Diceros bicornis minor: one gene and its partners. The protein of the gene in region 1 interacts with the protein of each later gene in a pairwise test. Links are inferred from orthologs where the notes say so. Each region holds a gene or a part of one and is shown in the gene's direction. Other genes may lie near its edges.

Evidence for each region.
Region 2: the proteins of COIL (region 1) and SNRPF interact in binary tests that used the Homo sapiens proteins (3 or more experiments, as listed by UniProt). The two-hybrid records come from large-scale screens. The link is inferred for Diceros bicornis minor from reciprocal best matches to the Homo sapiens genes COIL and SNRPF.
Region 3: the proteins of COIL (region 1) and NTAQ1 interact in binary tests that used the Homo sapiens proteins (3 or more experiments, as listed by UniProt). The link is inferred for Diceros bicornis minor from reciprocal best matches to the Homo sapiens genes COIL and NTAQ1.
Region 4: the proteins of COIL (region 1) and BYSL interact in binary tests that used the Homo sapiens proteins (3 or more experiments, as listed by UniProt). The link is inferred for Diceros bicornis minor from reciprocal best matches to the Homo sapiens genes COIL and BYSL.

What each region holds. Positions count from the first base shown.
Region 1 is NC_080757.1:30,550,633-30,557,758, forward strand, and holds the start of COIL (coilin), read left to right. Parts: upstream 1-4,104; 5' UTR 4,105-4,116; coding exon 4,117-4,361; intron 4,362-7,126. UniProt on the Homo sapiens protein: Component of nuclear coiled bodies, also known as Cajal bodies or CBs, which are involved in the modification and assembly of nucleoplasmic snRNPs.
Region 2 is NC_080764.1:26,526,248-26,533,205, reverse strand, and holds the start of SNRPF (small nuclear ribonucleoprotein F), read left to right. Parts: upstream 1-3,940; 5' UTR 3,941-4,018; coding exon 4,019-4,021; intron 4,022-6,003; coding exon 6,004-6,129; intron 6,130-6,958. UniProt on the Homo sapiens protein: Plays a role in pre-mRNA splicing as a core component of the spliceosomal U1, U2, U4 and U5 small nuclear ribonucleoproteins (snRNPs), the building blocks of the spliceosome.
Region 3 is NC_080760.1:38,988,858-38,996,428, forward strand, and holds the start of NTAQ1 (protein N-terminal glutamine amidohydrolase), read left to right. Parts: upstream 1-4,560; 5' UTR 4,561-4,654; coding exon 4,655-4,743; intron 4,744-7,571. UniProt on the Homo sapiens protein: Mediates the side-chain deamidation of N-terminal glutamine residues to glutamate, an important step in N-end rule pathway of protein degradation.
Region 4 is NC_080753.1:23,515,711-23,522,756, reverse strand, and holds the start of BYSL (bystin), read left to right. Parts: upstream 1-4,021; 5' UTR 4,022-4,310; coding exon 4,311-4,578; intron 4,579-7,046. Other genes in the region: MED20 (mediator of RNA polymerase II transcription subunit 20), read right to left, coding at 1,005-1,159, 3,768-3,781. UniProt on the Homo sapiens protein: Required for processing of 20S pre-rRNA precursor and biogenesis of 40S ribosomal subunits. May be required for trophinin-dependent regulation of cell adhesion during implantation of human embryos.

The sequences.
Region 1 (7,126 bases):
CACTAACATCTATCAGAATGGCTAAAATAAAAATATTGACAATGTCAGATGGTGGCCAGGATATAGAGAAATTGGATCACTTCATACATTACTAGTGGGAATGCAAAATGGTACAGCCACTCTGGAAAACAGTTTGGCAATTTCGTGAAAAACTAAACATGCAACTATCATATGACCCAGCAATTGCGCTTCTGGGCATTTATCCCAGACAAATGAAGACTTATGTTCACATAAAAACCTGTAAATAAATGTTTATGGCAGCTTTATTTGTAATAGCCCCAAACTGGAAGCAAACCACCTGTCCTTCAACAGGCGAATGGTTAAATAAACTGTGGTTCATCTATCCTATGGAATACTACTCAGCAATAAGAAGCAACAAACTATCAATACACACACCAACCTGGATGAATCTCCAGAGAACTAACCAGTGAAAAGAGCCAATACCAAAGGTTACATACTCTATGATTCTACTCATATAACTTCTTGAAATGACAAAATTATAGAAATGGAAAACATTGTGGGTGGCTATAAGAGAGCAACATGAACCATCATTGTGATGATGAAATTGTTCTGTATTTTGACTGTGTTAATTTCAATATCCTGGTTATCACAGGGGGGAACTGGGTAAAGGGTACATGGGTTCTCTCTGTGTTATTTTTTACAACTGCATGCGAATCTACAATTATCTCATATTAGAAAGTTTAATTAAAAAAAGAAAGCAAATAGCGGGGCCGGCCCGGTGGCGCAAGCGGTTAAGTGCGCGCGCTCCGCTGCGGCGGCCCGGGGTTCGCTGGTTCGGATTCCGGGTGCGCACCGAAGTACTGCTTGGTAAGCCATGCTGTGGCGGCGTCCCATATAAAGTGGAGGAAGATGGGCACCGATGTTAGCCCAGGGCCGTCTTCCTCAGCAAAAAAAGAGGAGGATTGGCGGATGTTAGCTCAGGGCTGATCTCCTCACAAAAAAAAAAAAAAAAAGAAAGCAAATAGAATCATACAATTATCCTGTTTTGCTCCTTGCTCTTTTCTCTCATTATATCTTAGACCCCTTTCCATAGCAGTGTATATGGAACTACCTCAATAGGGATTTAACTGACTGAATTATGATGCATCCATACAGTAGAATTCTACACAGTGTTTTATGGATGTACACTAATTTATTCAATTAAATCCCTACGGATGAGCATATACTTTGTTTCTTTTTTTGGCACAGATGTGCCAATCTTCCTCTCTTTTATACATAGGACACTGCCACAGCATGGCTGGTGAGTGGAGTAATGTCCGCACCCAGGATCTGAACCAGCGAACCGGGGCCGCCAAAGTAGAGCACGGAGAACTTGAACCACTGCGCCACAGACCAGCTCATTACTTTGTTCTTGACTCTTGCTGTTACAATGTTTCAACAAACACTGCACATGAGTCTTTGCACATCCCTATTAATCTCTCCATAGGATAAATGCCTAGAAGTGGAATTGCTGGGTCAATGGGTACATGCATTTATAATTGAGACAAATGTTGCCAAATGACCCTTTAGAGACCCTCTAAATGACCTCTAAAGGGTCCTATAACAAAAAATAGATTCCTTTCTAGAAATTTTTGTATCATGAATATTGCAAAATACAGACAAGTACACAGTATCGTGTACCTACCACCCAGCCTTATTAAAATAATATGAACACTTTGGTTCTGACTCTTAGATTAGACCTGACTTAATCAGATTAGATCTAAGATTAGACTTTAGATTAGATCTAACTCTTAGATTTATAGTTTGGATGTAAACTGTTGTCCTCACTTCAGGTCCCCGTAGTAGGTGGAAGGGTGGTGTTTTTACCTACTTTTAGGGAAGGAAACATGAATAACCAGGTAAGCACTTAGAAGCCACCCACTGCTTAGGGAATTTTGCATGTTTTGGAGTAGCAGTTTTCAGACTGGGGGTAAATATGTCCTGAGGAGTACTCAAACAGTTTCCAAGGGGAGGCAGGCATTGATGGTTTTAAGAGAATCAAGTTCCACATTCCCCTCTTTCACTAGACTCTTTCCTAAAGCTAACTGCCTGAGAATACGCCTGTTTCTGTTCTCCCAAAAGAAATGCATCTCCCCCAACCCGTCTACACAGCCTCACTGGAACCTACTTCACTTGTTTATTTGTTTCTATCAGGTATTATTAAATTTAGATTAACTTTAGGGAAAAATGTAGTGGATTCTACTGTAAATAATGCACACAACAGCAATCATTGATATATATAATTTAGTAATGCCCCGAACTTGAGAAAACAGCCTAATTTTATTGGGATTAACCCTTCTTTCTTAAATGTTGATATGCTCTTCCAATTCTGTAAATGCATATTTATAAACATCACTGATATCAACTATCAGATTAAATTGTTAATCTAAATAACAGTTCACAAGTGTTCAGTTTTATCTATCTGTCATGAATATACAGGTCTTTGATAACAATCCCTACTTTTATGGAATTGTCATTTCTACCCCAGTTTCATCTAATTTTAGCTCCATAAACCAGGCACTTCTAAATCTAAGAGTAAGTAGTATAATAATCACTTAAGTCTTAGGAGAGCCTTCCCAGATATTGAGAAAGCGAATGACCCTAGTGACTGGGTAAACACTCCTTTTGAAAGTCAGGTGATTCTTGATTCTTTGTTTTTAACATTATTGAATCTAACTGAATTGTTGGCTGATGGAGTACTGAAAATAATTTTTTTTTTTGAGGAAGACTGGCCCTGGGCTAACATTTGTGCCCATCTTCTTCCACTTTATATGGCACGCCGCCATAGCATGGCTTGACAAGTGGTGCGTTGGTGCGCGTCCGGGATCTGAACCAGCGAACCCCAGGCCACCACAGAGGAGCGCGCACACTTAACCACTTGCGCCACAGGCCTGGCCCCTGAAAAGAATTTTCAAAGAAAGATCTCTAGGTGATTTTAGCATGTAACTTGGAAGGAGTTTAAGAAATTGACTAATGTTGCCAATAACCTAAGTCCTTCCATTCTTAACTACTTACATAAATGAACAAGTTTTCTCAGGACTTTACATCTATAAAAACAAAAAATAGGTCCAGAATTGATGTGGATCCCTGTCTCATTCAGCTATATTCATGCACAGAGACTTGGACTAATTAAAAAAAAAAAACACAGCTCCACATATTTCATTAGGAGATATGTTTCCATGCCCATTTTATTTTCCTTATTTAATAATTATGCACCAAAATGTGCGAAGTTTTATGCTATTTTTATCAATTGTGTACCACTAATTATAGTAATGATAACTCAATCCAAAAGACCTAGAGCATTAGGGTCATGGTAAAACAAAACTTAAAAAAATTTTTTTTCAATATATCTACTGACTGCAAGATATTAGCCACTTACTAGTCCAGTGACCTTGGGGAAGTTACTTAATCTCTCTGATCTTCCTTTTTTTAAAATTTTCAAATGGGAATAATACTAGTTCATAATTCATACCTTTGTCATGAAAACTTGGAAGTGTTAACATATTATGTGGGCAAATGGCATGGAAATTCAAATGACGTAAAATTTCTGATTTACTTACCTACAGGTTAATAAGAGCTCTTATTTTTATATTTTAAAATATGGATGGTGGTAGGTATTAAACTGCTAAGGTATTTAAATTCCACTGGCTAATTTAAAAGAGTGATTAATGGTTTTATTTTAAAATGTCAATATTTGCAATATGCTAGGAATTACATCTTTTGCAACTCTTGATGATGAGAAATTGTGTCAACTAAATGTATGGGGAGTTAGTGTTTTTTGGAATTCTTTTACATATATAAGCAAACATCTTAGAAGACCATTGCTGAGAAGTGCTAAGAAGCACTACAAACCCAGAGAGTTGCCGAAATTCAGACCCTACGTAGTGCTGAGTAGGAAAGAAAGAAAGGCACTATCACATTTATACGCTTCCCTAGCTTTGTCGTGAACAGAATTGAATCAACCCGGCCCCGCGTTCCTGCCCTTCACGAAGGCTGTAGTAGCCACTTGCCACCGATAGGTGGCACACGTTAAAAGGCTCCAGGGGGGCGGGCCGCCCGAACACGCCTCTCTGTAGCCCTGTGGTGTCTCTCGGCTTCCGTTGAGCATCGAGCAAGATGGCAGCTTCCGAGACGGTTAGGCTACGGCTTCAATTTGATTACCCGCCGCCAGCCACGCCGCATTGCACTGTCTTCTGGCTTCTGGTCGACCTGAACAGATGCCGAGTCGTCACGGATCTCATCAGTCTCATTCGCCAGCGCTTCGGCTTCAGTTCTGGGGCTCTCCTGGGCCTCTACTTGGAGGGGGGGCTCTTGCCCCCCACCGAGAGCGCACGCCTGGTCCGGGACAACGACTGCCTTAGGTGCGCGCAGGGTGGGCCGGGCGGCGGGCCGGGGACGCGCGTGCGCATGCCCGGGGGCGCCTGGGCCCTTGGAGCCCGCGAGGGGGTGGAGGAAGGGGTGGGGGTGGGCATGGGGTGGGGCTGTCAAATTGTATTCGTGAACCAAGAGATTCTGATTAGTCTAGTCAGGTCTGGGGCTCAGGAATATGCATTGTAACGGCCTTCTTTCTCCGGGATGCTTCTGATGCAGCTGGTTGGTGGACCAAACTTGGAAAACCCCGGATCTTGTGTCTGGGCAGGGCGCGTGTTTCTTAAAGCTTGATTTAGGAAACCATCGCTTAGCCAGGCGCTGTTTTACTTGCGCGTGATGCAGAAGTGCCTGAGACCCGGCCTTCCCTTGGCGGCTCGCAGGGTCAGGTGCAGGAGACCCACGCAAACCGAGGAGCAGTCGTGTTTTCTTCATAACGTGCAGGTTGTCCATCCTTATGCTCCTGGATAGCCCCTGAGACTTCTGATGGTTGTCATTCTGTGTCCCACTTGGGCGTTTTGTGGTTCACTTAAATAGGTGTTGGGGACTTTTTGGGTTGTGAATTGGGAAACAAAATAGTTTTAAATATGCTTTTGGAAATTTTTAAAAATTGTACTGAGATGAGTATCGAGGAGCAGTTGTGGTATGAATTGCCCGTGTGTGGTTGATTTGTCTCAATAAAATGGTAAGACGTGATCATTTCAGTTCAGATGCATATCTTGGACTGATTTATTCAGGGCTTCTTTTTAAAGCTTAAGCTACAGTGAAAAAATTCTAGAGTTGTGAACCACGCTACTTCCTCTTGCTTGCTCTTTGTTGAATATTCCTTTCCCCAGAGCATGTCAGATTCATAAGAGTTCTTCAGAACATCAGGGAATTTAATTGGAACAATTACTACATCTTTGAGTGTGTGTGTCTCTCTCTTTCTTAAAATCAGGAATGCTATGACTTATTAATAATGTTTAGCTGTTTCTAATGACAATTTGAAATAGTCCAAATTTCATAAAGAGTTCTTTTTCCTTTTTATTCACTGTGAAATAGATTTCCATTTTCTTTGCAATTCAGGGACTATTTAAATATTACAGTTGTAAGGGCTGCATCCTCTCCTATCAAGTGTACTTTCTGAACTATCCCCTGCCTAATGAATTAATAACTTGCTGCTAGCTAACAGCAGTTATACTTCAATGAATCATCTGGGCATCATACTCTTTATAATGAAATTAACAAGGTCAAAAGCGAACTGTGGAAGCTGTTTTAAGAAATACATACAGCACAATGGCAGGCAGAATTCCTCCTAAACATTTCAAGTGCACAGTTGCATATGGCAAGAAATACCTCTGCAGCTGGCTTCAGTGGTAAATGGGACAGAACTTAGGAAAAAATTGAATTTGGACAAGTTTTGTATGTTTTTGCAGTGTCGTGTCCCCAGTCATTTTCTGTCTTCCCCCGACAGACTCACTTTTTTTCAGAACAGAAGAAAACATATTCTCTTTTCTCAAAGGTACCTAGTGTTGTTGTAGCAGGCGAAAATAACTAGTTTCTTGCTTCTGTATGTTATCTTGTGTGATGTCGGCAGTCGGACTGGACAATTATACTGGGTTATGCTGCTAAGTGCAGAAAATGGTTCAGAAAGGAGAGATCGTTATGGAACACAAATGGTCAGGAAATTTAGCAGTACCTTGAAGAATGGGTAGGAAATGTTGGATGGCCTAGTTGTGGAGGCAAAAGCTAGCCCAACTTGGTAAAGAGACGAGTCCGACCAACAAAAGGATTCCGTTGGGACTGCTGGGAGTACCGAGAGAAGCCTGATGAGGAAAGGGGGAGCCAGGTTGTGGGAATCCTGAGAAATAACCTGAGAGGGTCAAGAGGCATCTCCACACTTGTATGCCAGGGCCTTTTCCTTACAGCCCATTCTCTTAGGCCCCCAGACTCTGACTTCCTCTGCTCCCAGGCTGCTGACAGTGAGCTCCTGAAGGTGGTCTCCAACTCTCCTGGAAGGAGGAAGGGCCCGCATTTTGCTTGAAGCGCCCGTGTTAGTCTGGTAGGGCTGCTATAACAAAATACCACAGACAGGGTGGCTTAAACAACAGAAATTTATTTCTCACAGTTCTGGAGGCTAGAAGTCCAAGGTTAAGGTGTTGGTAATTTCATTTTTTTCTGAGGCTTCTGTCCTTGGCTTGCAGATAGCTCCCTTCTTGCTGTGTCCTTACATGGCCTTTCCCTGTGCATAGGCATTCCTGGTGTCTCTGTGTGTCCAGATTTCCTCTCTTATAAGGAGACAGTCAGATTGGATTAGGGCCCACCCTAATGGCCTCATCTTAATTTTATCATCTCTTCAAAGGCCCTGTCTCTAAATACAGTCACGTTCTGAGGTACTGGGGATTAGGGCTTCAACATGTGGATTTTGAGGGGACATAATTCAGCCCATAATACCCCCTGAAGAGAGCTTCTCAGAGGCCTGGCCACAGCAACTAGTTGGGAGAGCAACCAGCTGGAGTGGAGATCTCTCTGTTGAGTCATTATGTCAGGAAACAAAATGCATTCTCTGTTTCACTCTTTTGAGTCTCTGTGGCACTTAATACTTGATTAAATATTAGACATGCATTCTCATTTCATTTTGCTGTAATTAGTAGCTCTTTGGATAGCCAGTCAAGCCCCTCTGAAATGTCTGTGAGGGCTGGCACGTCTGTGGGGGCTGGCGCGTCTGTGGGGGTTGACATGTCTGTGAGGGCTGGTGGTAGGAATTAAGAAGACAGAG
Region 2 (6,958 bases), on another chromosome or scaffold:
TTTCCTCCGGGTCCATTTTATAGGGAACATGGGCTTGACACCATGGGAGGAATTTCTTTCCGATCACAGTAATAGAAACAACTGTGCTTTTCCTGAATAATTACAAAAATATATTATGGAAACTGGATCATGTAACCAATCATTACTCTTTGCTAGGACTCTATAGAGTTTAGAGATAAATGCGCAGCCCCTCAGTAGCCAGTGCATAAGGCAATATGATGTAGATGTCTGTATTCTAATGTTATATCTGGTTCTATTACTTTCCCTTCATCCTTCACTACTTCATTATTTCCTTTTGTTGTTTTTTATAGGCCACTTCAATCACTTGTAGAATAAAGCAGAAGATAAAGAATGTAGCTTAATATGAGAAAAGCATTCAACTGAAAGAGGCTATTCTGGGTCTATCTCTAACTCAGGTATGACCATACTTTCATCATCTACAAAATTAGAGGTTTAGACGAGGTATCTCTAGCGTTCTGTCCTAAGTTTAAAATTCAGTGATTCATCAATGCCGACTCAAGAACTGGAGCACACTTAGCTCCTAACCACAACACCAGGTTTCCTATGAGGTCTGATTCTCTCTCTACAATGGTAGAAAGAGTATGCGCTTTGAATCACCAAAAAGACTCGGATTCTAATCTAGGTTTAGAGGCTGTATGATTGAGGAAATTAATATATTTGGGTCTTAATTTCTTCACTAGACAAAATACCACGTCTCTCAGGTTTGAGATAATGTAAAGCTCCTACCAGACAGAGGCACTCAAATCTTGCCTCACTCCCACCCCTTTAAATCTACTCTGGCCATAACTGATTCTGACCATAATCATAGAAAAATAAAATGTTGAGATTACGGGAATAAAGAAAATGAAAGGATGGGGCGGGCCCGGTGGCGCAAGTGGTTAAGTGCGCGCACTCCACTGCGGTGGTCTGGGGTTCGCCGGTTCAGGGTTCACTGGTTCGGATCCCGGCGCGCACCGACGCACCACTTGTTAAGCCATGCTGTGGCGGCGTCCCATATAAAGCGGAGGAAGACGGGCATGGATGTTAGCCCACGGTGGTCTTCCTCAGCAAAAAGAGGAGGATTGGCAGATGTTAGCTCAGGGCCGATCTTCATCACAAAAAAAAAAAAAAAGAAAAGAAAAGGAAGAGTTCATCAATTTCAAAAGTAACTTTCTAAACTTTATCCCCCTTCATCTTGCATTTATATTTGTACTTCTATATATTTGTTTATTTGTACTCTACTCAAACACATTTTGAGGAGAGGCAGTGTAAAGGAAAAAATCTCAGGCTTTGGAGACATTTCACCTTCTACACAGCCTTCAGCAAAAATATATAACCCCTCTGAATCTGTCTCCTCATCTCGAAAATGGGGCTAATAATGCCTACCTGGAAGTGCTGTAGGATTTAAATAAGGTAAATTACATGAAATATCCTGGCATAACATGGCAGGCACTAAATATGTATTGGTTCCCTTCTTCTCAAAAAGGTTTTCAAGTTCCATGAGGGCAGAGATCACATCCATTTTATGCACCTCAGTAAATATTTCTTGGTCATTTAATCAACTACTTTTTAGATGTTTGTTTATCACTGGAAGTTTTGGGTTATATGCTGCGCAGCAGTAGAAGGCCTTACCGAAGTGTTCACCCTAATTAATAATTAGGGACCATTTCCCCAGAATGTGCTCAAAATGTAATCTATCTCATCTTCAGAAAATATAAACCCTGTTACTTCCTCCATATTAGAACCAATTATTCTGACGGGTATTCTGTTGAGCCATAGGGTAACATGGCAATATATATTTTTAAAAGCCTTTAAAATAATAATGCCTTTAACCCAGGAATTATATTTCTAAGGATTTATTGTAAAGAATCAAAGATACACTCAAAGGCTCGTGTAAAAGTATGTTCAAAGCACATTGTCTATAATGGGGGAAATGAAAACAGTAGAATGATTAATAAATTATCACATATGCATAATATAGAATAAAAAATGCATAAGACATTAAACTCCATTTTAGAAGAATAATTATATGAGAATTTGCTCAATATAAAGTGAAGAAAAGCTTAAAAACTACATGTAAAATCTTGTAAAAAAAAAAGTGCATGTGTTACAATAAATAGTACACCAAAAAAGTTGACAGTTGTTTTCTTTGATTGGTGATACTAGTGATTTTTGTTTTAGAACTTTCTATATTTTCCAAATTCTCACAAAACGTATGTATGGCATTTATAATTAGAAAAATACCAATCACCTTATGCCCACTTTATTTTCGATAAGGTAAGATTAATATTTAACATGAAGACAAAAAACGACTTTAAACACAACTATCATTACGTAGATTATGGTAATATTTTGTTTCACTTCATTGAGAAAAGAGCTAAAAAAAAAAGTCAGACTTCTAAAATATCTATTGATCTTTCAAAAGGCAGCTTTATGAAGCAGAAAAAGCCAAGAGTTTTCAGGTTGAAACCTAGCTGTGTGGCCCTGAGCAAGTTACTTGCTGACCTGTTTCCTCATCTCTAAAATGGGACCATAACCACCAAATCACAGACTGAGTAGTAAGATTTCCATTATAATAATTGTGAAGGACCCTGGCACATAGTAGGAACTCCAAGTCTGTACAAAGGCTAAATATTCACTAAACGATCCTGAACCAAGGGAAAAACCTACTGAACTTTGGGGTAAATAATCCCAACTGCTTGGCATAAACTACTCTAAAAGAAAATTACTGTGGTTGTCACTGTTCTCCTACATTTACATGGACAATATTAAAATAACAGTTAATATCTACTGAGCCCTTACAGGCCAAGCACAGTCCCAATCTCTTTCACATTAATTATTTAAACCTTACAACCCTGTGGACAGTACTAGAGTTTTTAAAGCCACGTACAACTGAGGAAACAAAAGCCTTAGGGGGTTAAGAAACTGCCCAACACCATCTCCATGAGATGGACGGACGTTCTGAACTCAGGCTGCCTCCCAAGTCTTACCCACTACTCCATATGTCTCGACACGCAACATTTAAATCTCAGTTCCAAATTCATCTCCTTAGGGCCGCAAAAGCAAAAACAAAAAACTTACTACTCTGAGCGCGCTTCTCCGAGAACTGCATTTAGCATTTCAGATCAGAGTGAGCTCAAAGTCTGTACCGGGGGGGAAAAAGAAGTGCGATTCTGACAAACAGCGTTACATCAAAAGGGTCGATTGGTGAAAGAGCAAACATCCCCACGTCCTTAATTACATATGCACATAAAACGCCTGTACCGGGTCTCCGCTGGCGATGCAAAAGGAACAGAGCGACAGGGAAACCACCACACCATATTCTAGACTCAATTTGCCCTCATTCTGTACTTGACTTTCTTCGGTGCGTTTCACCTCTCTTAGTCTGGTCTGGCTTCTCTCACTTCCTTTAAAGTGGTTGAAATGAGCATTACAGAAGAGAGAACAGTCAGGTAGACGGGGACCGTGGCAGAGGAGCCCCCAAATTATACAACCCGTGGGAAAGTGAGGAAGAAACTCGAGAGCCCCAAGTGTGTAAAAGGGGCTCTTAAAGGTGTAAAGGGACAAAGGAAACCCCCCACTGGCTTAGGGCGCGCAATTACGTCCTCTCTATAGGGTACAGAGCATCTCTCGGAAGAATCCTCGAGGCAGGTGACCAGAGGAGAAGCCCGGGCCGACCTCACTGCCTCTGCAGCCTCGCAGACACGCTCCCGGCTGAGTTCAGCCGCCTTTGGTTTCCCACAGGCCAGCGCGCCCCCGGGAAGGCCCAAAAGCGCGCCTTACTACTCGTTGCCAAGAGACACTGCCCAGCCACCTCCTCCAATCAGCACGCATCTCTTTGCGTCCAATCACAGAAGGTAGAAGAGCTGAAGTCGGAGGTGAAAGGTCACACTGCTGTTCGGCGGCCATTTCTTTTGAAGCTCCCTGGTTCGGCTATTGCCGTAGTTGCTGCAGTCACAAGGGACGGACGACAGCTGGGTCGGCGGCGAGTGGCCTGCAGCATTTGCCGGTAGTCGTGATGGTAAGGAGGAAGAGAACGCACGGAGTCGCCGGAGAGAGAGAGAGGGCGGGCGACTAGCCTCGCCGGGCCTGGTGGCTGGTTCGCGCGTTTCCCATTCATCCGCGTGAGGCGCCGCGAACCCGGTCGCCAGCCCTTTTCTCCCTGCTCCGGGGGTCTGAGGCGCGCGCTCCTGCCAATGCCTTCCCCTCCCCGGGAGTGCCCCTGTCCCCTTCCGTCTTTTCTTCGTCTGCAGCTGAGCCTGAGATATCTTTACTGCCTGGGGCCACAGGGTCGGGGTAAAGATGAAGCGGTGTTTCACGTCCCGCTTATCACACTCCAAAATCGGTGTTCTTTCCAGGATGTTGGGGCTTCCAGCCCCGCAGCCCTCAGGAACCCAGAACCCAGGCTTTGGAGCGTTCATTTGTTCGTTTAGCAAATAGTTATTGAGCGCATGCAACCTGCCAGATACTGTTCTAGGCGCTGGGAATATAAGGTGAAAAGTGCTGAAGCGGGCCCTTCTCTAGGTTAACTCAGTCGCGTGTGAAAGACAGACGTTAATCACATAATAACAGAAATATGTAATTGCAAATAGTGTTAAGTACTAAGAAGGAAGCAACAAACAGGATGCTGTGAGGGGGCGCGATGGTATATTAGAAGAGTGGTCAGGGATGGCATCCCTGGGAGGAGGGATTTAACCTGAAACCTAAATGATATGAAATAGCCGCTAAAAGAGCAGGAGGGAAGGTGTACCAAGCACGGGAAACGGGAACATAGGCCCTAAGGCCGGAAAGAAAGCTTGACCAGTTGGAGAAATTGACAGAAAGCCACAGCCGCTTGCAAGAATGGTGGTTATGAGATAGGGTCGGATAAGATCTCTTCAGCCTTATTAGGAGGGCTGGATTCTACTCCAAATGTAATTGGAAGCCATGGAAGTATTTTAAGCAGAGACATATGAGTGATACAAATAATACTTGCCGGGTGGATAATAAGTTGGAGAAAGAAGAGAGTGAAAACTGGAGACCCATTAGGAGGTTATTGCAGTAGTCTACGTGTCTTTTGAGATCACTGTGAATATGCTTATGGTAGACGGGTTTAGTAACCAGGTTTCTGGTGCTTTTCTTTCTTTGGGCTGATGGGTGAGCAGAAGAGTGAGGGAAGGAAAAAGGTGAATTCACTGGGGACACTATTGGTTTGCTGAATAAACATTAAGTGATTGCCCATATGTAGGAGGCACTAAGTCAAGTTAAGACCCAGTCCTAGTTCCTAGAATTCAAGTGAAATTTTGTCAAGTGTAATCTGCCCCCTGCTTCCTTCTGTAGCCTCATATTTGGGACTCTGACAATACTGAATTGTTTGTATATCCCTGAGATCACCTTGTTGCTTCACTCTTACCTCCTTTTGCATAGGCAGCCTCTTCTGCCTAGAGCAGCCCTTTTTCCCTCTGGGAAATACCTCTCATCCTTTTAAAATAGAGGCATTACTTATTTCAGGCAACCTTTCCTTTTCTCTTAATCCTAGATTGGTTTGGTACCTTTGTAAATAGCACATCACCTCTTACTACATTGCAGTACATATAATTGTCTATTTGTATGTGTTTTGCCCCTCCCTCTCCCACTGTGAGCTTCTTGAAGACAGGCAGTGTCATCTGCATTTCTTTCTTTCTTTTTTTTTTTTTTTTACTGCCTTTATCTTTGTTTCTTTATAGCCTGGAACATTGAGTGATGCATAGTAGGCATTCAGTGTTTCTTAAGTGAATAATGAATACTTTTATACTTTTATAAGTTTTGATGTGTTGAAGGTGAAATTGTCTTACTGGGTATTTAAATTTCTCTGATGCTCTTCAACAAATAAAAGTGAAAATTATGTAGTAAAGTGAGAGGGTGTCAAGAGTTTGCTTCATTTTGATACCTTCAAATATTGGTGATTTGGTAGAGGAGGGTAGGTAGAGGAAGCCGATCTAAGGAAAAATAATCAATTGAGTCTTTTTTTTGTTCTTTGTGCAGAGTTTGCCCCTCAATCCCAAACCTTTCCTCAATGGATTAACAGGAAAGCCAGTAATGGTGAAACTTAAGTGGGGAATGGAGTACAAAGGCTACCTGGTATCTGTAGATGGCTATATGAACATGCAGGTAAGCTAAAGAGTTATAAGATCATTAAATGGTATTTATTTTGCTTCATCTTACACCTCAAAGGTTTAGTGTGACTTAGAGGAATACAATCAATTAAATTGACAAACATAAAGCCAAATTTAGGAATAAAGTCAAGGCCAAGGAAGATGTTATAACTGTGATATACTATGTATGAAACATGGTGTTAAACCAAAATTCAGCCGCAGATTTGGCTCCTAGTGGTTAAAATAAGAAGAGCTCAGGCAATTGATTCACAGTGCCATAAGGAAAACACACTAGTTTGTGGAAAAAGTAAAACATTTCCCAGGACTTAGCTCTGAAAGAAATTTTTCAAGTGAAATTCTTTTTTTTTTTTTTTTTTTAAAGATTTTATTTATTTTATTTTTTCCCCCCAAAGCCCCAGTGGATAGTTGTATGTCGTAGCTGCACATCCTTCTAGTTGCTGTATGTAGGACTCGGCCTCAGGATGAACGGAGAAGTGGTGCCTCGATGCGCACCCGGGATCCGAACCCCGGGCCCACCAGCATCGCAGCGCGCGCACTTAACCACCAAGCCACAGGGCCGGCCCAAAGTGAAGTTCTTAAGTCTTTTAATAAATGCTTATGGCACAACATCAGAGTAATTCCATAAAAGCATTTCTTGAGGAAGAAGACAGATCAGCCAAAGGATAAACTAGCTTCTGTAATTATTTCAGCCAGGTTTTTTTCTTTTTATTGTGGTAAAATATATATAACATAAAATTTACCACTTTAGCCATTTTCAAGTGTACATCTGTCATTAAGTACATTCATATTGTTGTGCATCCATCACTATTATCCATTTCCAGGAC
Region 3 (7,571 bases), on another chromosome or scaffold:
TGACTGTGAGAGCCACTTCAGTGTCCTTCCTGGTAAAGGAGCTGATAAACAGCCTTTCTGCCTTCACTTTTAATCGAACAAGTCAGGACTAATAAAACCGGGCCAGCTGTTTTTTGGAATCAAATTATACTGCTTGTGCTATAATCCTATTCCAATGATCAATTAATTTTTCCAACAACCTCCTCGAAATGAGGTCCATTTGGCATGAAATGGGCTCGGTAAACCACTAAGGCCCCCTAAATAATCACTTTTTCTTCGTGGTCACAAATCCTCCTGGGAATAGGCATCAAGTTCTCCAGGGTATAGTGTCTGGAATACATATTTTTTTTCCTTTTATGAAACTCAAGACAGCAAGTAGTCGTATTTATTCAGCCTTATGTCATCTCCTCCATCATTTTCTCAAAGATCCATAAGAAAATCTAAATCTATGGATTTGGGGGTCATAATCTAAAGCACTTTCAGTACACTGGGATATAACTCTTCTGGGTCTGAAGATTTTTAACCCATTTAAGGCAATTTCGTGCTTTCTACCGCTGTACCCGTCTTAGTCTTAATTTCCTCTTACTGCTATTTTCCTTATTCATTCAAGGTTGAGAATCACTTTCTTTGATAGACAAAATGCAAGCAAAACAGACATTGGGTATTCTTGTTTCCTTTCAGTTGTCTGATCACATCATATCATATGGTCCCAGGCAATGGGATTATCTCTCCCTTTTTCTTCTAGCTCTTAATATTGAGCATTGAAAATACTCCCTCCTCCGATAAAAAATAAACCCCCCTTTTGTTATTAAACCTCGGTGTATTATGTGCTGTAGACTTCCTGAATCTCCTCTTTCACATCTGTGGCCCCTTTTTATACTTTCTTTTGTTATGTGTTCCTCCTACTCTAAACTCCTGCCCTTTAACATCCTAATTTCATTGGGTATTGGCTTCCTTGAATGCATCTCTTCTTTCTTCCTCATCCAGATCACTGGAGTTTGTAGGTCAAAATCTGGTTCTAAGCACCTCCTACTCCTCTGAAACCATATCCCTTTTTATAGTCTCTACTATGCCCTGGTGGTCCAGTAGTTAAGATTTGGTGCTCTCACCACAGTGGCCTGGGCCTGGGTTTGCTTCCCAGTCAGGGAACACCACCACCCGTCTGTTGGTTGTCATAATGTGGCAGCTGCGTATTACTATGATGCTGAAAGCTATGCCACTGGGATTTCAAATATCAGCAGAGGGTGCTGGCCCGGTGGCATAGTGGTTAAGTGCGCATGCTCCGCTTTGGTTGCCCAAGGGTTCGCAGGTTCAGATCCCAGGTGCGCACTGATGCACCGCTAGTCAAGCCATGCTGTGCCGGTGTCCCATATAAAGTAGAGGAAGATTAACCAGGGCCAATCTTCCTGGGCAAAAAGAGGAGGATTGGCATCAGATACTAGCTCAGTGCTGGTCTTCCTCACACACACACACACAAAAATACCAGCAGAGTCACCCATGGTGGGCAGGTTTCAGCAGAGTTTTCAGACTAAGAGAGACAAAGAAGAAGAACCTGGCCACGAAAACCCTATGAATAGCAGTAGAGCATTGCCTGACCCACCTGGAATGTGAGAGGATGGAACAAAACGACCAGGTAGGGTGCCACTCTGCTGAACACAGGGTCACTAGGAGTCACAATCGACTCCATGGCACTAACAACAACACAACCATGAAGTCATATGAATATTTAAAATATGATCTATTTTTTTCAATTTAAAAAGTAATTCCTATTTATAAGAGAAAGTTTAAAGCATAAAGAAAGCACATTATGGCAGAGACTGCTGGCTGCCCTGTACCCCCTTCTCTATTGCTTGCCCCGCAACTCCAGACCACCTCCACCCTGGGTAAACCAGTGAACTTCTCTGCTATCTGGGAGCCAACCCATGCCTTCTCCAACGAGGTCCAAACCGCTTTCATATTTGCCCTTTTTTGTTTTTTTTTTGGAGAGGTACATATATAGGTGTTTTTTTGTTTTTTGTTTTTTGTGAGGAAGATCAGCCCTGAGCTAACATCCATGCCAATCCTCCTCTTTTTGCTGAGGAAGACTGGCCCTGGGCTAACATCTGTGCCCATCTTCCTCCACTTTATATGGGACGCCGCCACAGCATGGCCTGACAAGCGGTGCATAGGTGCGCACCCAGGATCCGAACCTGGGCCCCCAGCAGCCGAGCGTGTGCACTTAACTGCTACAACACGGGGCCGGCCCAGTACATATATAGTTTTATCAAGCTTTCTTTATTTTTATTGTGGTAACATTGGTTTATAACATTGTGTAAATTTCAGGTTTACATCATTATACTTCTATTTCTGCATAGATTACATCATGTTCACCATCCAAAGACTAATTGCAATCCATCGCAAATACACATGTTCCTAATCATCCCTTTTGCCCTCCTCCCTCCTTCCTTCCCCTCTGGTAACCACCAATCCAATCTTTGTATCTATGTATTTGTTTGTTGTTGTTTTTATCTTCTACTTATGAGTGAGGTCATATGGTATTTCACCTTCTCCCTCTGACTTATTTCGCTTAGCATAATACTCACAATGTCCATCCATGTTGTCACAAATGGCTAGATTTCATCGTTTCTTATGGCTGAGTAGTATTCCGTTGTGTATATATACCACATCATCTTTATCCATTCGTCCCTTGATGGGCATTTAGGTTGCTTCCAAGTCTTGAATAATGCTGCAATGAACACAGGGCTGCATGTATCTTTATGCATTCGTGTTTTCATGTTCTTTGGATAAATACCCAGCAATGGAATAGCTGGCTCATATGGTAGTTCTATCCTTAATTTGTTGAGGACTCTCTATACTGTTTTCCATAGTGGCTGCACCAGTTTGCACTCCCACCAGCAGTGTATGAGAGTTCCCTTCTCTCCACATCCTCTCCAACACATGTTGTTTCCTGTCTTGTTAATTATAGCCATTCTCATTGTAGTTTTGATTTGCATTTCCCTGATAGTTAATGATGTTGAACATCTTTTCATGTGCCTGTTGGCCACCTGTATATCTTCTTGGGAGAAATGTCTATTCAGGTCTTTTGCTTGTTTTTTAATTGGGTTGTTAAGTTTTTTTGTTGTTGATAAATTTGTCCTTCTTAAGTACTCTTCACCAGCCCTAGGTACCATATAGAGTTTCCTTATATCTTATAGCTACACTTATATCATAGTTACTTCTTTTGTTTTGTTTTGTTTTTGCTGAGGAAGAGTCTCCCTGAAGTAACATCTGTTGCTGATCTTCCTCTTTTTTTGCTTGAGGAAGATCCCTGCTGGGAACCCAACCCAGGCCAGGGAAGCAAAGGATGCCAAACTTAACCAACAGGCCACGGAGCCACTTGGCTGGCCCCTATCATAGTCAACCCCATGTGGAAGTGTGTATTCAGAGCTGAGATGCAATAAATCGATAACCAACACGAGGATTTATGCTCAGTCTTTAGGATTTATGTACTTTAGAACTCACGAGACTGAAGAGATCTGTAGACAGCCTATAAACCAACCTAAGAATTTCAGTTTTTATAATGGGAAGTACCCTGATCAGCTATATATGACCTTTGCAAATATAGGCAATTCAGAAGGCTATAAAGTGAAAGTCCTCCATACCATTCATTCACCAGAAATAAACACTGTTTTAACAATTTGGTGTCCTTCCTCCCAGACTGCCAGCAAATAAACAAATACATGATTAACACAAAATGGATACCACGCGACTCTTTTTCAACTTTTTTTTACTTACTATATCAAGGAAACAACGTATCTTTCTGAGCCAGTACGTACAATTTTCCTATTTAAAAAAATGTTACAATACGGCCAGATTTTGGGGTGATAGCCTTCTCTGAAACCGCCCTTGATGAGGAAGTATTTGGAATTAACCTCCCCGCTCCCTCCTCCCTCCCCAGCTCCCCGCGGACTCTAGGCTCCAAGCGCTCAAGCGTCGTTTTTCACACACAAGGTTCGCTTATTTCACTCGCACACGTCGAGTCTTCGGCGTCTCATCCGGTTCCTCCACAACTGGCAACCCGCCCCAGGCTGGAAGATGGGTCTCAGACTCCTCCGGGAGACTCACGAAGTGCCGTGCAGGGTCCAAGGGCTTACCAACTCCAAGCCCTCCCCTGACATTTCTCCAAGCCACCTGCCACTGACCTCTCATCTCCCCCAGCCGCCCGGACCCTCCCGGTTACCGACACCCCTAGCACTGCCGGCCCCGCCTCAGCAGGCACCAGCGCCGCCCCGCCCCTGACTCCACCCACCTCGCCGGGCTCCGCCTACTCGAAACACGCGGTCCTCCTGGTCCCGGGCTCCGCCCACTGGGAACTCACGCCGCTCACCCACCCCAGATCCGCCCACTTCGCCCTGGCTCCACCCTTCCGGAACCTGCGCGGTGCGTCCCGCCCAGGCTCCGCCCTCCGGAATTTGCACCGCCCGCCAGGGCCTCGCGCGCGGGGAAATGCGCCGTTCGCCCTGCCCCGGCCCCGCCTACCCCGGGAACTGCAGCAGCGGCCACCCCCCCAGGCTCCGCCCACTCCGCACCGAGAACCCGCGCGGGCTGCTGTACGCTGGCTCCTCCCCGAGGCCGGCCAGGGGGCTGTTCCAGTCGGTCTGCCTTTAGCGGGTGCCCCGACCCAAGCTAGCCCGCCATGGAGGGGGGTGTCTCCGCTGCTGCAGCCGCCCACTACCAGCCGGCCAGCCCCCCGCGGGACGCCTGTGTCTACAACAGCTGCTACTGGTGAGGGGGCGCGGGCGCAGCCCCCGCATCTCCCGGGCTCCCTCGGCCGCGCTGTCGCAGCCGGGCCCCGCCTCTTCCCGGCCCCTCCCCGGGGGCGCTCGGGGCCTCGACTGGCTGGTTTGCGGTTTGAGGGGAGGAGGGAGCGGGAATTGCAGCTCTCGCGTCTGGAGCAGAGCGTGGGCATTTGGATTGGGGGGCGGATTCGCCAGGCGTGGTAGGGTCGGTGGTGCATTACTTCTGCCTGGCGCTTTTGTCTGGGACGTTTCTCAGCAGATCTCAGCGCTTGGGGGCCAGGAAGGGGAGTTGGAGGCCGAGGGTGGAGCGCGGAGAGCCTTCGGAAATTAACTCTGTTGCAGCCTGTGTGGTTTCACATTGATGTGAAGGTCATTTTAATTTTGAAAAAGAATGGGGGCACGGAGATTTTGCAGTAACTTTGCCAAGGTCACCCAGCTAGGAGCAGCCAGGAATCCAGTTCGGGACCTCTTGTACCAGAAACCGTGTTAACCACTATGCTGTCATTATGATAAAGGTTACACTTAGACATCACTTGCTGTATGCCAAGCACTGTTCTGAGTGGTTTGTGTAAACTAATTATTTGAACCACAGGAGCCCCTAGGAGGTAGGACTACTGTTATCTACCTTTTCAAGATGAGAACACTGAAGCACAGAGGGGTGCAAGTAATTTGCCTACGGACATAGCTAGTGAGTGAAGGAATGGGGATTTACATGCAGAGTTTGGCTCTGGGGTCCACACACTGTACCCTTGGTTTAGGCTACGTCTGTGGCAGAGGCACCCCTCCTGCCTTGGTCCTTTTTGCTCCCACACCTACCCTTCTCTTGCCTGAGTATGACTTCTTCCCCAATTTCCAGTCCCTGCACAAGAAACCTTAGGGGCATCTAAAACTACTTTTCCCTCCTTCAGCTGGTCACCAAACCAGTGCCTCCAAGAGCTTAATATTTGTTCAGCTCTGACTGCATGTAAGGAAAGGCCTAGTGCCAAGTGCTTCCATGCGTGCCTGGGAGATAGGTTCTGTGACTATCATTATCCTCATTTTACTGATGAAATGACTGAACCACAGAGTGGCCTGTTGTTTGCCCAAGATCACACATCTAGCAAGTGGTAGTGCCGAAACCGGAACCTCCGCAATGCTCGAGTCCATGGTTCTGCCCTGCCTCTCACCTAAATCCTATTAGCTCGTGTCCCTAATGTCCATGCATTGTTTTATTCATTCATTCAATAAATGTTTATTAGGCACTTGGAGCGTGTGATGCATGATTCTAGGCACTAGGGATACAGCCGTGAACAACCAGACAGATTCCCTGGTAAGATCTCATGGTTCTTAGGTTTTGCAAACAAAAACATGTAAGCCATATTTGGGTGGTGTTAAGTGCTATGAGAAAAATAAACCAAGGTGAGGGATGGTGACTCATGCTGATTCATACAGTCATAGACAGAATGAATGGGCAGGGCTGTGTTCTAGTGAAACTACAGTATTAGGGTATTTAAGGAAGACATAGTTGATAAGGTGATGTTTGAACAGAGAGCTGAAGAGGAAGAGGGCGGGAGCTTTGTGGATATTGGAGGAAGATCATTCCAGGTGGGAGAAGCAGCAGGTGCAAAGGCTCTGAGAAGGAAGCGTGCGGTGAGTATTCTAGGAACACCAAGGAGGCTGGCACAGTTGGAGTGGAGCGATTGGTGGAAGAATGGTAGGAGATGAATGTCTCTTACATCATCTCCTTTTCATTCCTTCAGCCATAGGCCAGGCCCTCCTCAGCTGTCGGGGCCTGTTCCAGTCCTTCCTAACAGGCCTCCCTGCCTAGCTTGCCCTTATCCCGTCAGGTCTTTAACTTTAGCTGGCTTCACACTGCTCAAAGCCGTCCTAAATTTGAATGTGGTAGAGAATCACCTGGCAGCTTGTAAAACATGTAGCTCTTAGAGTCCCACCCCAGAAAGTCTGGATGTGGGAGCAGCACAGTGGAGGGGTCTGAATCTAGTCTGTTGATCACATTTCAAGGAGTACAGACATAGACAATAAAGTTTATCACCTGAGCATGGCAGGCCCTCCAAGATCTGGTCACCATCTGTTCCTCCAACCTCATTTTGAACCTGCCTTTGCTGCTCTACCCCAGGGTTTCTCAACCTTGGCTCTGTTGACCTTTGGAGCGTGTTAATTCTCTGTTGTGGGGGTCTCTTCTGTGCATTGTAGGATGTGTAGCAGCATCCCTTTCCTCTAGACACTAGAGGCCCATAGCACTCTCTCCCAATTTATGACAACCAAAAATGTCTCCAGACATTGCCAAATGTCACCTGGGCAGCAAAGTCACCTCTCATTGAGAACCAGTGCTCTGCCCTGTCTGAACACATCAGATAGGTACACCTTACTGTGTTTGCTCTTGTGGGTTCTTCTAACTTGAAATAAATGCCTCCTCTCTACTTCTGTTAGCTTCTGTCAGATGCTGCTTATCTTTGAGAGACGCCCAGCTTAAGGACAATAGTGGTAGCTAGTATTTGTGTCACACTGTGTGGTTTGCAGAGCACTCTGATTCTGTTGTAATTGTTTTGTATTTTTCAAACGTTTGTTGAGCACCTCCTGTGTGCCAGGGATCCTCCCCTTCTGCATACTTCTCTGACCTCAGCCCATCGCCAGTAACCCTTGCAGAATCTCAGCTCTAATGCTGCTTTGTTAGCCTTTCTGCTACCAATATAATCAACTGACAGGTTGAGACATTATCATCATCACCCCCCGACTTTTTTTTTTTTTTTTTTTTTTTTACCGGTTAAATGGGTACCAGAACTGACACCAAATCTGGGAACAGTGACTCCCAAC
Region 4 (7,046 bases), on another chromosome or scaffold:
GCTGTTATAAGAGCCAGGAACAAAGGCTGCCTTGCAGGAGCTAGAAGCAAGGAGGAGTCACAGCCATAACCACTGCCCAAAGCAGAGGGAGAGGGAGTGCAATACTGTGGTCTCCCTTTCTCCCATCCTCTAATCTTCCCCAGTGCCTCTCACTGACCCAAGGTAACTGAAAGGGGGCCTGGCAGTTGTAGTGTGCAGGTCAAGGGCAGGGATGAGATCTATGGGAAAAGAGGCAAATGACCGACATAGAAACAGTCACAGGTCATGGGACTTAGCTAAAGTTGCAGTTAGCAGAGCCAGGACTCAGTTACCTGGTTCCGAGATCTAGGCTCTTAATCACTGGTATGGAACTGTCCAAGGTCAAGTTACTGCAGAGCCAAGACTAAGAGAACTCAGGTTCCCTAAGTCATATTCAAAGATCCTCTTTGCCTCCCTACCACCATGACCATCCACAGCCCATCTCACCTCTCAATACATTTAAAACAAGAGATGATTCATTGGTCAAGGTTATGCTAATGAGGTAGCCAAGGCCACTGGCTAGGTGTGGGCAACAGGAAGCCTTTCTGCAGAAAATTCTGAAAACTCTAAAGCTCTACAAGAATCATATCCGAAGACTTCTGAGCCTAAAAGGAGACTTTCTCAAACTTCAGACTGCATAAAGATCATCTGGGAAGGTTGTTAAAATGTAGATTATGAGGCCTGTAGCACCAGTCAGTCGGTAAGCAGGGCCAGGAATCTGCACCTTTAACAAGTAACTCAAATGATTTAGTCAGTCAGTGACCAACCCTCCAAGAAACACGGCTTTAAGAATGCAAAGTGCAAAAAGACTAAAACATAGGCCCAGTCTAAGAGATGAAGGACCAAGAATTAATGAATTAAGAAACACCTGTGCCACACGTTTAAGAATACCACCTTTAGCAGAAGAACAGAAAGATTTCAATGAACATGAACATCTATCAACTCCAAGCCAGGTTCCAGCCATCACACAGACCCTTCTCACTGACCTTGACTGCCAAGGGTAGAGGCAGCCGTGTGGTAGGTCTCACAGTCCACACAAAATGTTCCTTGCTTCTCTGCCCCAAGCATCTCCAATTTCCTGGTGAGGAGCTCCACGGTCTGCTGGACACTCTTGCCCTCAGCGACAGGCATCTGGGACACACTGGAAGGGAGAGTACCAAACCATCAATATGCAATGACACATGTGCACTCGCTGAACCACTCACTCACAGAATCACAGCTCATCAGGGCCAGAAATTAACTTCGAGACCACTGACCCTGACCCCCTCATTTTAAAACAGAGGAAATAGAGGCCCACGGTCCCTGAGGACATCTCTCAGGACTCGCAGAGAAGTGCAGTGAACTTCCTATCTATCACACCAGCACTTCCCAAGCGTAGCATGAGAAAATTTTAGGTGGCACACAGACTGAGCCCTCGATAACACTGAGTTGTATAATGAGCTTTGTGATTCTTTCACTTCTGACTGTATGAAGGAGAAAGCCTCAGTTTGGGGATAGTGTATTTTTACCAACTCTACAACACTTTGAACGTGCACTGTCCAGTACAGCAGACACAAGCCACATGTGGCTATTTACACTTAAACTAATAAAACAAATTAAATTAAAAATTCAACTCCTCTGCTGCAACCACATTTTAAGGGCTCAATAGCTCAATAGTGGCTGGGGGCTAGGGTACTGGACACTGCTAATATACAACATTTCCATCACCACAGAAAGTTCTATTCGACAGCCCTAAGATCAAAAAGAAAGCAAGCCTCGAGTTTATAATCTTCGGGGATGAGAGGCAACAGTACGTACAAGAATTTAATCAAAACAATGAAACAAAAAACGTTATTTCCAAGATTTCCTTCTATGGTGAGTGAAATTGGCTTCCCCTTTAGAGGGGTGGGTAAAAATCACCAAGCGCAAACTATGTGCCAGGCAGTGTCCAAAGGCCTTCAGATGAATTAAGTCTTCCAATCCTCACAACAGCCCTATAAGATGTGCTATTATTTATCTCCTTGTTACCAATGAGGAAACTAAAGTACAGAGGGGTTGAATAACTCACACAAGGTCACACAGCTTGGTGTGCTGTAGCAAAGATTCAAAGCTAGGCAAGCTGGCGCCATGTCCACACTCTTAACCACCATACTGGACTGCCTCCCTAGGGACACAGTTGCCTGTTAAATACTTTAAAGGAAAATAAATAGATTTAAAAGAAAACACTAATAAATAATAGTAGAGCTGGTACTTGGCTATACAAAAGTCCTAAGGAGAATCATATGTGAGTGAATGTTGGGAGACACTGCATTACTTTAGGATCAGTCAACCAAATGAAGATATAAAAGTAGAGTCCTGACGTTGCTAATAATTGTCACTACTCTCCATAAGAAAAAGCACTGATAGGGCCGGCCCCGTGGCTTAGCGGTTAAGGGCACGCGCTCCGCTGCTGGCGGCCTGGGTTCGGATCCCGGGCACGCACCGACGCGTGGTTTCTCCGGCCATGCTGAGGCCGCGTCCCACATACAGCAACTAGAAGGATGTGCAACTATGATGTACAACTATCTACTGGGGCTTTGGGGGAAATAAATAAATTTAAAAAAAGAAAGAAAAAGCACTGATAAGCAATGATAATGATGTGCCTTATTTTGAAATATAAGAGACTCCCTAAACTGATGCTACTGAGGTCAGAAGTCCTAGGAGTCGGAGAAAGTTGATAATGGTCCCAAAAGAGAGCCCTTCCCTCTGTAGGCCTTCTCTATTGAAAGAACAGGGGCTCCAGGGTTCCAAGCCTCTGTGCTTCAAACTTTGCATTCCCATCGCTCACATATCCCCTTACACTAGAGAACCTGAGGAGGCTCTGATGACAACTGTAGGAAACAAAGGTGCAATCACCAACAAACCTCAAGAACCTGGGTTATCAGGAGGAGTAGTGCCCACAGGTTCTTATAGAAGAAGCCTACAGCCACTAGCTTCAGATATCCTGGCCTCCAGCCCTCTCTGACTGGAAAGATGTTCACACTTCCCGGTATTAAAAAAAAAAAAAAAAGCCCTGAAATCTAGCATTTTGGAACTAATGCCTCCAAGAGCATTAGGCCCACACCTTTCCCTGCCACCCAGACTTATAACATGTTAGAGCTAATAAGTCCATAAAAACTAGACCAACCATGTAATTAAACATAGTAGGAAGGGATCCTGAAAAGGTGACATGCCTGGAACCCCAATCTCCTAATTCCCAATAGCTTCTTTTTTACCTCTAGACAGAGAATCTTAAAATGGTCAAACTAGAACCAGATACAGGCTGGTCTAACTGCATTTAGCGGCTGTAAGGAGGAGCAGGCGAAAACCTAAAAAAGATACTGTCTCCTCCTTGCCTATCCCTCAACCCCTCCAGACCTGCCTGCAGATGGATCCTAGTCCGGACATCCTATTTCCGACCCTAAAGTTCCACCCCCAGCAGTACCACAGCCCCACGGGCAGGCATATGGACCAAGAAAAAACGAACGAGGTACACAACCATTGATGGGTTCCTGGGATAAAACCTTTTACCAGCCGCCTTCCAAGAGGAAGGGGCGCATCTCTGAGGAAACAGGCCCTGAGACTCCGCGACCCTCATGGTGTCCCCCTCACCCACACAATCCGAGGACATCTTGCTCAGCTCCTGAGGGACGGCGGACCCTGATCTCGCTCCTCCTCCCGGGTACAGTCCAGGCTCCAAGGGCCCCTTCACGACCCCAAGCCCCGCCCCACAAAATCCCTCGCACTCCTACCAAGTCACTCCCATGGTGTCGGGCCAGGAAGGTGGCAGGATCCAACAGCTGAAAGGCAGCGCTTTCTGGCCGCCCACGCTAAGTGAAGCCCCCTACCGCCAGGCTCGCTGGAGGGAGGTGCTCCGGAAATGACGCAAAAACAGAGCGCCCAGTCGACGCGCCCACGAGGAACAGGGGCTTGTCTAGGCGCCTCCTCGGTGACGCATGCAGTGACGTCACTGTCCGACCCTGGCCCAGGCTTGCCGCGGGAGAAATTCTCATGTGGCCGGGCCTAGATCCATGAAGCTAGGAAAGCGTGGCTCGGCCTGCCACCACTTAGAGAAGCCAACGTTAAAGGCAATGAGTTTATTCAGGAGTCCTGCTCCAGGACCAGTGAGCTCTTTTAGGGGGTGGGGCGTCGCTGATGGCACTCCCGGCCTCCGAACGCTAGGGAACGCTGTGATCGCCGTCTCGCCTGTTGGGCGCGGGGTTCACTGCGCAAGCGCAATCAGGGCTTTTTCCCGTCCCCACGTGTGAACCTTCCCGGCGAGGTTTTCGAGAAAAATGCCCAAATTCAAGGCGGCCCGCGGGGCCGGGGTTCAGGAAAAACATGCGCCCCTGGCCGAGCAGATCCTGGCTGGGGACGCGGTGCGGGCAGGGGCCCGGGAAAAGCGGCGGGGCCGTGGAACCGGAGAAGAGGAGGAAGAGTATGTGGGGCCCCGGCTGACCCGACGGATTTTGGAGCAAGCGCGGCAGCAGCAGGAGGAGCTGGAGGCCGAGCATGGGACCGGGAACCGGCCCTCGGTGCCGCGGGAGCGCACCACGCGGCTGGGTGAGTGGCGGGGGCTGGGTGCGAGGAAGAGCGCGGTTAATTGGAGTGGACGGCTGAAAGATGTCCGCCACGGGAATAACTTGCAATAAAAAATAAAAGGAGCGTGGTTTATATTACCACCTTGCAAAGGTAATGGAATGGGAGACCCAGCCCTGGAGCGAATTTAGGGTGGTCAGAACCCTCCACGCCCACTCATAGTTTTAGGCACTCCTTTCTAGGCACCCCCGAAGTTATGCCAACAGGAAGCGATTGCTCACGCTACTAAGTTTTCCTAGCATTTATCCATTTGTTCTCTAATTACTTATGGGATGTCTACTACGTGCTTCGCACTGTGCTAGTTTAGATGGTTTGGGTAAAGAAGTAAACAAGATAGACTTGTGCCTGATTTCAGGATATTAAAGTCTAGCCCAAGAGAGAGACAATTAAAATAATAATTGTAATATATTATTATAATAATATTACATTAATACTATTCTAATAATAATAATAATCTCAACGATAAAGAAAGTATAGTTTCTCAGATAACAATAGCATTAACCTTGGGGGTCGGGCTTCCCAGATTGCATGACCTTTGTGCTGAGACCTGAAAAACCAGTGCAGAGTGTTCTGAGCAGAAAGAACAATATTGTGTAGGGGCTAAAGAGGAGAGAGATTAATTAAAAGGTGGTCAGTATTTTTTTATTAGGGTGAGTGTTGCCCTCCGAGTTGCTTAATCCATTTCTCAGATCTCATCTTTCATTTGTCCGGAGAGCAGCATTTGACACAATTGAACACCTGCCTCCTGGCTGCAGTATCTTTACTTGACTTCTAAGACAGTGCATTCCTGTTTCACTACTTCTTCACTTCTCAATAGTCTTTTCTGGCTCCTCTTTTGTCCCCAGCCTCTTATCATTCAAGAGCTGCAGAGTTCAGTCCTTGCACCTCTTCTCGTCACTTCTCTGGTGCTGTCATCAGTTTCATGGTTTAAACACCATCTATTTGGTGACTTCTCCCAACTTTGTATTCTAGTCCTGCTTTCTTCCATGAAGCACAGACTCGTATATTTCAGCTGCCTATTTGGCATCTCCCATTTGAAGTCTAATAAGCATCCCGATTTTAACGTGTCCAAAACAGAAATCCTGACCTTCTCGCCAAACCTGCTTCTCTCACTGTCTTCCTCATCTCAGTCAATAGCATGATATCCTTCCTTTTGCTCAAGACAGAACCCCTGGGCTCCTCTCTTTCTTGGTCCATATCTGATCTGTTAGGGAATCCTGTTGACTCTACCTTCAAAATATATCCGGAATCAGACCACTTCTCACCACCTTGGAACACCATCCTGTTCAAGCCACTGCAATGTCTCGCCTGGATGATTGCAGTAGCCCCCTAATTTAGTATCCCATACCCCCTATAGTCCACTCACAGCTCAACAGCTAGAAGATTACAGCCGTCTACAAAGACCTGTGTGATCTGCCCCTGTTGTTCTCTTCACTCCACCCATATAGGCTTCATTCTTTCTTAAACATGGCGAGTTAGGGCCGTGGTTGTTCCTTCTGTCCTCATACGCCTGTAGGCTTACTCCCTTAGTTCTTCACCTTCTCAGAGAGGCCACTCCATTAAAAATGGCAACATCCCACCCCTGTCTCCACACTCCCGAATGTCTCTACTCTGCCCTGTTTTCTTTTTTCATAGCACGTGTCTTCTTTTAACCTAATATATATCATATTTATTCATCTGTCTCCCCCATTAGAATGTAAGCTCTGTGAGGGTAAAAAGTTTTGTTTCTCTTGTTCGCTAATATATGTTCAGCACCCAGAACAGTGCTTCACATATAGTAGGCACTCAGTGTTTGCTAAATGAATGGATTAATGAATGATGGTGAGGTAGGTAGGAGCCAAATCCACAAAAGACTTGGAGGCTGTGCTCAGGATTTAAAGCCATTCTAAAGACAGTGAGAAACTATTGGAGTATATGGAGACCAGGTAGGGGATTGTTGAATTAATCCAGGCAAGAGATGATGCTGCTCTGCTTAGACAGAGCTGTGAAGGATCTGGGAGATATTCTATGAGGTAGAATCGAATAGGACTTGGTAATTGATTGAGTGTTGGGGGTGAGGTCAGGGGACGAGGCAGGCCTGCTTCCCAGGTTCTGCCTTAACATTGGGTAGATGGTGGTGCCAGTGTTCCACATGTGGAACACAGTGAGTAGTGTAGACCTAGGAGGGAAAGAGAATGAGTTTGGTTGGTGACAGGTGAAGTTTGAAATGCCTGTGGGCCATCAACAGTGGCTGTACAGATGCAAGTGTACTTCCCATAATGAGCCAACATAAATTGTTGAAAAGATAAGATGACCCTTTTGTGAATTCTATGGAGGAAGAGGAATAAAGGTTGTTACAGGAAAAAAAAAAAAAAAAAGAGTGGCTGTACAGGAGGCAGCTGGAGTTAGAGTCTGCAAGGAAGGGAGATCCACCGACAAGTACAGATTTGGGA